Bombyx mori: one gene and its partner. The protein of the gene in region 2 purifies or fractionates together with the protein of the main gene of each other region. This does not show direct contact. Links are inferred from orthologs where the notes say so. Each region holds a gene or a part of one and is shown on either strand. Other genes may lie near its edges. The genes, in order: nucleolar protein 56 and RpL7Ae.

Region 1 (4,467 bases), on a different chromosome or scaffold from region 2:
CTGATGAAGCAATAGTTTTAAATGTTGTTTCTCTTTATAGAGCCACTCAGTTTGTACTATAGTTTTACTGGGCTAAACTTTATTTTGATGTGAATAAAATAATACACCCTTGTTCTTTTATTTATGCTCATATTTCAAATAAAACATTTCAAGAATCTAAAATTAATATTTACTCCCGAGAAACCTTAATGAATCCGTATGATAATTCTAGGGTCGGCAGACTAAAGCACATAAGTCAAAATTTTCAATTTATTTTTTATTACATCATCGGTTTACATTTTGCTCAACACACAATCTGACTAAAGCACATAAATCAAACTCAAGTATTTCATGGCGTATTCAAGCGGCGTTCTGTATCAACCTTATCAAATCCTAATATAGTCAAACGAACTAAAAAACATAACTGGACTTATGTTCTAAGGAACACCATAAGTACAAAGTTATTAACGTAAGAAGTCTGACTTATGTTATAAAGAACATCAAAATGTAACATTTCTTTAGAGAAAGTGGTTACTTAAAAATATTTATAACGTAAACAATACTTCGGTAAGTGGTTTTAATTTACTAATGTTGTCGATTGTGCACAGTTTGTTGGTTAGTTTTGTGTGAGTGCTTAAGTATTTTAATTATTTAAGATGAATATTCAAAGAGGCAAGAAATTAGTTGAAATGGCATCATCCACTCATCTGGAAAGCAATGAAGGTATATTTTCACATATCTTCAAAATTATGATTTGCAAATTACGTAATTATATCAATATTATATCATTATAAATAGATAATTAATTGTCTTGTCCTTTTTTAGAAAATGTAAATCAACAGTCGATTTTGAACACAGAGTTCTAGTAGAACCTAGTAGTAGACGATCCTATACCGTCGACATCATCAGGTCAAGTCAGTAGCTTAACATACTATTCTGTACTTGACTTCTCTAGTGATGATTCTGTACGATATCCATGTTATGAATTACCGAGACTTCCAATCACATCAAGTTCAAGTACTTGTGATGAAATTTCAATGAATCCTAATGTGTCTCCAAAAAAGAGTATACGTACTATAAAAAAAGAAAAAAGAATAAAACGTAACTTAGGACAGGCATACAAAACTTTAAAAGGAAAATGTATATCAGATCGCACTATGAATTAAAAATTTATTTTTGAGAAAAAACAAAAAAAAAAGCCCGCTGAGTTTGTTTCGCCGGTTCTTCTCAGGACTGTGGCTTTTTTTGGAACCGGTGGTAGAGATAACATTGTTATTTATATTTTGACATTCAATAAGTGTGTTATACTGACATCTAAGTTGAAATAAATGATTTTGAATTTGAAAGAGTTACCTGTTTGCAGAATGAAATGTAAAGAACGTATACCATTAACTGATAGGCGTGCCATATTTACAGAATATTGGCAAATGGGGTCATATGCAAAAACATCTGCATACTTGGCGTCTTTAATGGAAATTCAAGATAAATCTAAACAAAGAATACGAGCTATTGAAACTGAAAAGCAAAAGCTTAGAATGAAGACATAAAAATACTTTTTTACTGTGCATGGTAAAGGTGAACCTGTCTGCCGAGGATGTTTAATGAAACCGTTAGATGAAAGTGACAATTTTATAAAGACATTTGCTATGAAAAGGAGATCATCCATTGGGGGATCTCAAACTGATGATATAATATCTATACAGCCATTACCCATATTCATCGAGAAAAAAAATGATTTAATTTCGCTGCTCCCTTTAATACTAGATATTTTCCATGAATTTTACATAAGTCTTCCCACGTTGGAAACTTTACGAAATACTGATCCAGATATTTAGAAGAAGAAGAATAATAGAATAAGAAGAAGAATTTTAATTAAACATTGAGTTGTTATTTATATTTATGACTTATATTATTATAATATATATCTTAATTGTTGATCTTTTTCACTTAACTCATACTATTATTGTGTTCCTTATAACTTAAGTCATCTAATTATTAAATAATCACATTTACTTTAAAATATTTAATTTTAATAATAAGTTAGTGTTATAAACTTATATAATTCAAATAAACATTATTAAGTTTGTTAATGTATAAGATTCTAAATAGTTTTTTTTAATTCCTGTAAAGTAGAGTTTTTTGACTTATGTGCTTTAGTCTGCTGACCCTAGAATTTTAACTTATAGTAGTGGAGGCTTTGTAAGCTTAAATCAAGGTCGATAGCTTGCAGACACATTAACGACTCTTCGGAGTTTAACAACACATTGACGAAACATCAAATATTTCGAAATTCCAAATTAGTACTAAAAGTACAAGACAAGGAGAAGTCGAAAACTAACCTTCAGATACCGCGTTGATATTTTCCAAAGCAACGATCGCCGACTTGTGTGGTTGGAAAGCTATTAAAGTCACAACAGCATTAAAACGTTGCAAATCTGTCACGGACTCTTCGACCTGAGGCAGGAAAGCCGCTAACTCTTCAAATTCAGCAACGCGGAACAACGCAAAGCCCGCGCTGTGTTCGAATAACACATAGAACTTACTCTGCAATGTAAATTGGTTTAAATAACTCACAATAGCGTAACAAAGTCATAACACATCGTTTTAATACGCACCATTTTAGTAGTTTTATATCATAATCATTATCATATTATTTAGGGGAAAAACAAACACGTGCGTTACGTTTGCTCCCCTATTATAATTATTTTGAGGTTAAGTTACAGCTTTGATGCTTGTGTGTGGCTGGAATGTTTTTTTTATTGTTTGGGTTGCATAGACCAAGGGAACATAGATTTAAAATACTTACACTAAAATCTTTTCCAATTTAGCAAATACTATGGCCGACAAGCTATTATTTAAATGGAAGCCGAGGTATTTCACATTTGTATTTAAAAAGCTAAGCGTTTTTATTTCTGACTATAGTATTAAGTAGAATATAATAAATAAGTAGGGCTAATTTTGAGCTACACAGTTTGTTTTAGCCTCGCTTGCTTTGGAAAAGAGAGTTAAAAAAATGTTATACGTTAAAATTTTCAAGTCGTACTATATATAATATAATACTCGTTATGAAAACATTATAACATTTTTCACCATGGTCTCAAAAGTATATTCTTAATTGTTAACTATGTTTATTTATTAATAGTATGGCACATTGTAATCCCTTAGCTACAATCCAACAATTACAGTAACAATCTCTAGTTATTATCATTCTGCCCATTTCGGCTACGAAGCAGCCGTGGGTTTCAGTTTCAAAAAATACTTCAACTTCAACTTCATGACCCAAATGGATGTCGGCATTCATTTTGTTATATTTATAGATTAAGGACAATTTATTCACTTTATCACTTATTATACCAAGAAAGCCTTGAGTAGATTTATCCATCAAACAACCACAACAAAAAAAGCGTTTTTGTTCGTTTTAAAACTGATAGTGGATGAAATTATGACAGCTATTTTTTTCGAATCGTATTTGCATACATAAACTCGGGCAATGCAAGTCTTTTATTGTATTTTATTACTAATTATCCTACAATTACATCATCTACAATTATGATTTAATATTTGTAAATTCAAAATACCTAGTCGTAGGAATGTCTATGATTTTATCATTGACTTTACCCGAAAGCATAAAATTAATTAAATCTTTTAAGCCTTTTAAAAGCGACTGGCCGACGGCGCCACAGCTGCCACTAGTTAGATCTTTAAGGTGCTGTGGAGTTAGGCTATCAAGCCCGCCAGCAGAACCACTCTGAAAAGATGCAAGAGCATTAGCAACATCCTCTATGGTCGCCTCTATGTTCAGAGCTGGGAGGTTCAGAAAAAAATATGTTGTAGGATAAAACAATTAAGAAAACATGTACTCCAGTTCATCATTTGCTTTAATCGCCGTGTTTTGTACAACTCAGTATATTGTTAAAAAAAAATTTTTTTCACAACTTATGGAAGGATACTCGGTTGTCATTTATCCCAGTCATTAAAAAAATTGAGGCAACAACATTCAACGGAAATTTTTGACATTTCAATTTGAAATTTGTGTACAAACTAAGGTTAATCGTATTTAATTTCTAAAAATAAATGTAAAACAGTCTTAACTTATAACAATGTTAAGGAATAAAAAACCCGTTCAATAATCAAGAGTAAAAATTCAAATTATGTAATTGGTGTTATAACAAAATTTTGTAATTATGACAACGATTGCAATGCAAAGAGATCTAGTGTTCGCACTGAAAAAAGAAACCAGTCTCAATATTGGTTTATTAAGCAAGTTACATCCGATGTCTGGAGAGTTACTGAAGCAGATTTTTCGCGATAACGCTTTGGAAAAGCCGACACAGAACGTCTTCAATCATGTTTCTCACTATTTGGTGTCGATTATTGACGTTCAAGCTTCCGCGGCGCTACCCTGGCCTTTGTATGATACAAAAACGGAGAGATTGTACAGGAACGAGCTGGCGAACTTCATCTCCGACTACAGCACCAAGGGTCTTC
Region 2 (3,001 bases):
GACATTTTCAGTAAATTTGTTTTTGCGAAATATAAAAATACATAATATATTCAGTGTTTAGATCTCGTAGAGCAGTTGTAGACGGAGCTCGCGCCTAGCATCTGCGGGTTAAATAAATATCATGGATTCATTGTTGGTTTTATTTAAGGCTTTATGCGATTTGCGATTAAGAATTTAACTTCAATAGAAAGCGGAAAAATCTATATCTTTGCTTATTGACAAAGGCATGTGAACAAAAAAATTGCTACTGCTAAAGAATATTTGTACTTATATAGCGGAAACAAAGCAGACCTCCATTTTTTTATAAACAAATGTAGCTTCTTTTTAGACGACTTGTGCCTTATTTGTTCAGTTAACAGTGTATTTACACCACATAGTGATTGTCATCACCTATATCACGTGAAATTCTCAGTAGATAACATTGTAATTCAGCTGTCCTATACTTCAAATCGAACTGAAAAACCATTTCACTGTACTGTTTGAATAGACACAAGCACTTGTTGATGAAAAGATTATCAGGGAGGATGCCACAATTGTAAAAGTTCATAATTGTAAAGTTCTACTTTTTATGTTTAAATAGCAAAAGATCCTGGTCCTTTTTGTTCCTAAAAGCATCAATAAATAAAATACGTTATTTTATTAAAATATTGTATTCGACACAAAATAATTTCCTTACACGTCTATTTATACTTAAACTAATAGTCTTTCGATTTCTTGCTGAATAGTTTGGATCTGAGGCTTTAGTTGTGAGCCCTCATTGATGGTTATCGAGCAAGATATGATGGGTCTGGAAACACCGCAAGCACGACCGAGTGCTTGCTTAGACCTAACAAACACATATGGCACATTCTTATCTTCGCACAGAATTGGAATGTGAAGAACAATTTCGAGAGGTTCGGCATCTGCTGCCATTATGATGAGCTCAGATAGACCACGATTAAGGGTCTTTGTGGCCTCGTTCGCGCCTTTACGAAGTTGCTTGTAATTGGTAGCTTGTTGCACCAAGTTCAGGATTTTAGCGGTTAAGGCGGCATCCGCCAATGGGTATGCCTTGGGGTTCACTGCAGCTTCGGTTTCAGCCTGTGAAAGTAGATTATTAAAGTTATGAACAGTTTAGATGTTCTAGGTAGTTAGAATGTAATCAATCTCAAGATAACCTCAAATATTCACATGAGTTCAAATTGCAACCGTATTTTGGATATCACATGATTGAAAGTTTCAATTTGAAACTGATTAATGAAAAAACTGACTTATTATAGGTAAATTAATACCAAGAAGATCGCTAACACGTGCAACTTACCATGTTTACAATGCCGCGGTGTTGAATTAATAAAACTCAACCTCTCGGCGATCTCTCGCTTCACTGAGGAAATAATCTTCACGTAAGGGAGAGAAAATTTAGGTATTTGCCACAATTCTACACTTAAATCACAAATATTTTGTGTATAAATATTATTAACGATTCTGATACTGTTGTTTCAAAGACACGCGGGTTGTGGCTTCTTTGACATTTGTTTTTTTGGTTATATTTTTTTTCATTTTAATAATCAGAGGCAACATGAATTATACAGCTTTACATTTTAATAGTATAGGGTAGTCATTTTTTATGTAAAATTAAATGTATGGTGCAGAATAATTTACCCAACGTTTGAAAAAAAAAACAAAATATTTATAACGACTTACTAAATAGTTCAATTACGAGTTTTTTTTCAAATTTCAATTTTATGACTTTTCGTATAGGTACAGTAATGTAGTACTTAGTTCTGTTTCTCCCACTAAAAAGGCGAAGGTATCACATCCTACAGACTAATCTTTTGTAAATGCTGTATTTAAATGAAATTAGTTTAAAGAACAATAATATGGAGCGAAATAAAATGAAGTTGATTAATTTGACATTAATCAATTGGGAAGTAATTAAACGAAACGAGATTATATCGGATGAAATTTAGTCCTAGTAAAATAGTGGTTATTTACTGAGACTATTTCAGGGAACTTTCTGGAAGATCACGAGAAGCTACGTCCAACGGCTTTATTTAATTTTCTCACATGTTGTCTACTTTTACAGATATTAAACTGCTAATAAAGTACTGTTAATACACAATGAAACCTAAAGAAACACTAAATTAACAAAATAAAACAACTCACACAACTACACTCCTCGCGTTCCCGCCAAAGTTTGTTCGTATTTAACGAACTTTTTACTGCTAAGGGTTTGACTGGGTTTTTTTTTAAGGCTTATATAGGTGGACGAGCTCACAGCCCACCTGGTATTAAATGGTTACCGGAGCCCATAGACATCGACAACGTAAATGCGCCTCCCACCTTGAGATATAAGTTCTAAGGTCTCAGAATAGTTACAACGGCTGCCCCACCCTTCAAACCGAAACGCATTACTGCTTCACAGCAAAAATAGGCAGGGTGATTGTACCTACCCGTGCGGACTCACAAGAGGCTCTACTACCAGTAGTGTTGATAAGCTGATACTCTTTGGGTTCACAATACGCGTTATCACCAAAACTGAAGTGGACACTGAAGAGATGACTAAAATGACTCAGAACTCACCTGTCTTTAGGTGGGCACCGAAGCCATAGAAGCTACCAGCGAATAGATCAAATACAATAAATAGAAATCACAATTTTAATGCCAACTTTAAACACGAAATAAAAGTCTATCACCAGTAGAGAGTTGGTGTCTAATCATCCATTTTTTCCAGAAGATTTTGAACAAGTCATCCATCACAAGAGATTCACTAAAAACAGCACTTTAATGTATCTGATTTTTGAAATAACAAGAGTAATTGACCAAACTTGTTCGTGTTATAATTCTATAGCTATAATCTTAATAAAGTATTAAAAAGCCTTAATATTTTTTGCTGAGTAACTTATTATGACTTCTTTAAGGAAATGGCTAGAGAGTCCTAGTCGAGGTTAGTCAAAGTAACTATTATCCCTTTGAGTGCGAACCGTCGATAGATCGACTCTATTAATACGTTTAAACGCAT

What was found.
Region 1: the proteins of RpL7Ae (region 2) and nucleolar protein 56 fractionate together in Homo sapiens (co-fractionation; 3 studies listed by BioGRID, with this or other methods). This does not show direct contact. The link is inferred for Bombyx mori from reciprocal best matches to the Homo sapiens genes SNU13 and NOP56.

What each region holds. Positions count from the first base shown.
Region 1 is NC_085132.1:2,384,984-2,389,450, forward strand, and holds the start of nucleolar protein 56, read right to left. Parts: upstream 2,965-4,467; 5' UTR 2,598-2,964; coding exon 2,595-2,597; intron 2,524-2,594; coding exon 2,319-2,523; intron 1,992-2,318; exon of another isoform or gene 636-1,991; intron 547-635; exon of another isoform or gene 205-546; intron 1-204. Other genes in the region: uncharacterized LOC101737518, read left to right, coding at 4,179-4,467. UniProt on the Homo sapiens protein: Involved in the early to middle stages of 60S ribosomal subunit biogenesis. Required for the biogenesis of box C/D snoRNAs such U3, U8 and U14 snoRNAs. Part of the small subunit (SSU) processome, first precursor of the small eukaryotic ribosomal subunit.
Region 2 is NC_085117.1:6,325,251-6,328,251, reverse strand, and holds RpL7Ae (ribosomal protein L7Ae), read right to left. Parts: upstream 1,509-3,001; 5' UTR 1,304-1,508; coding exon 1,301-1,303; intron 1,081-1,300; coding exon 691-1,080; 3' UTR 635-690; downstream 1-634.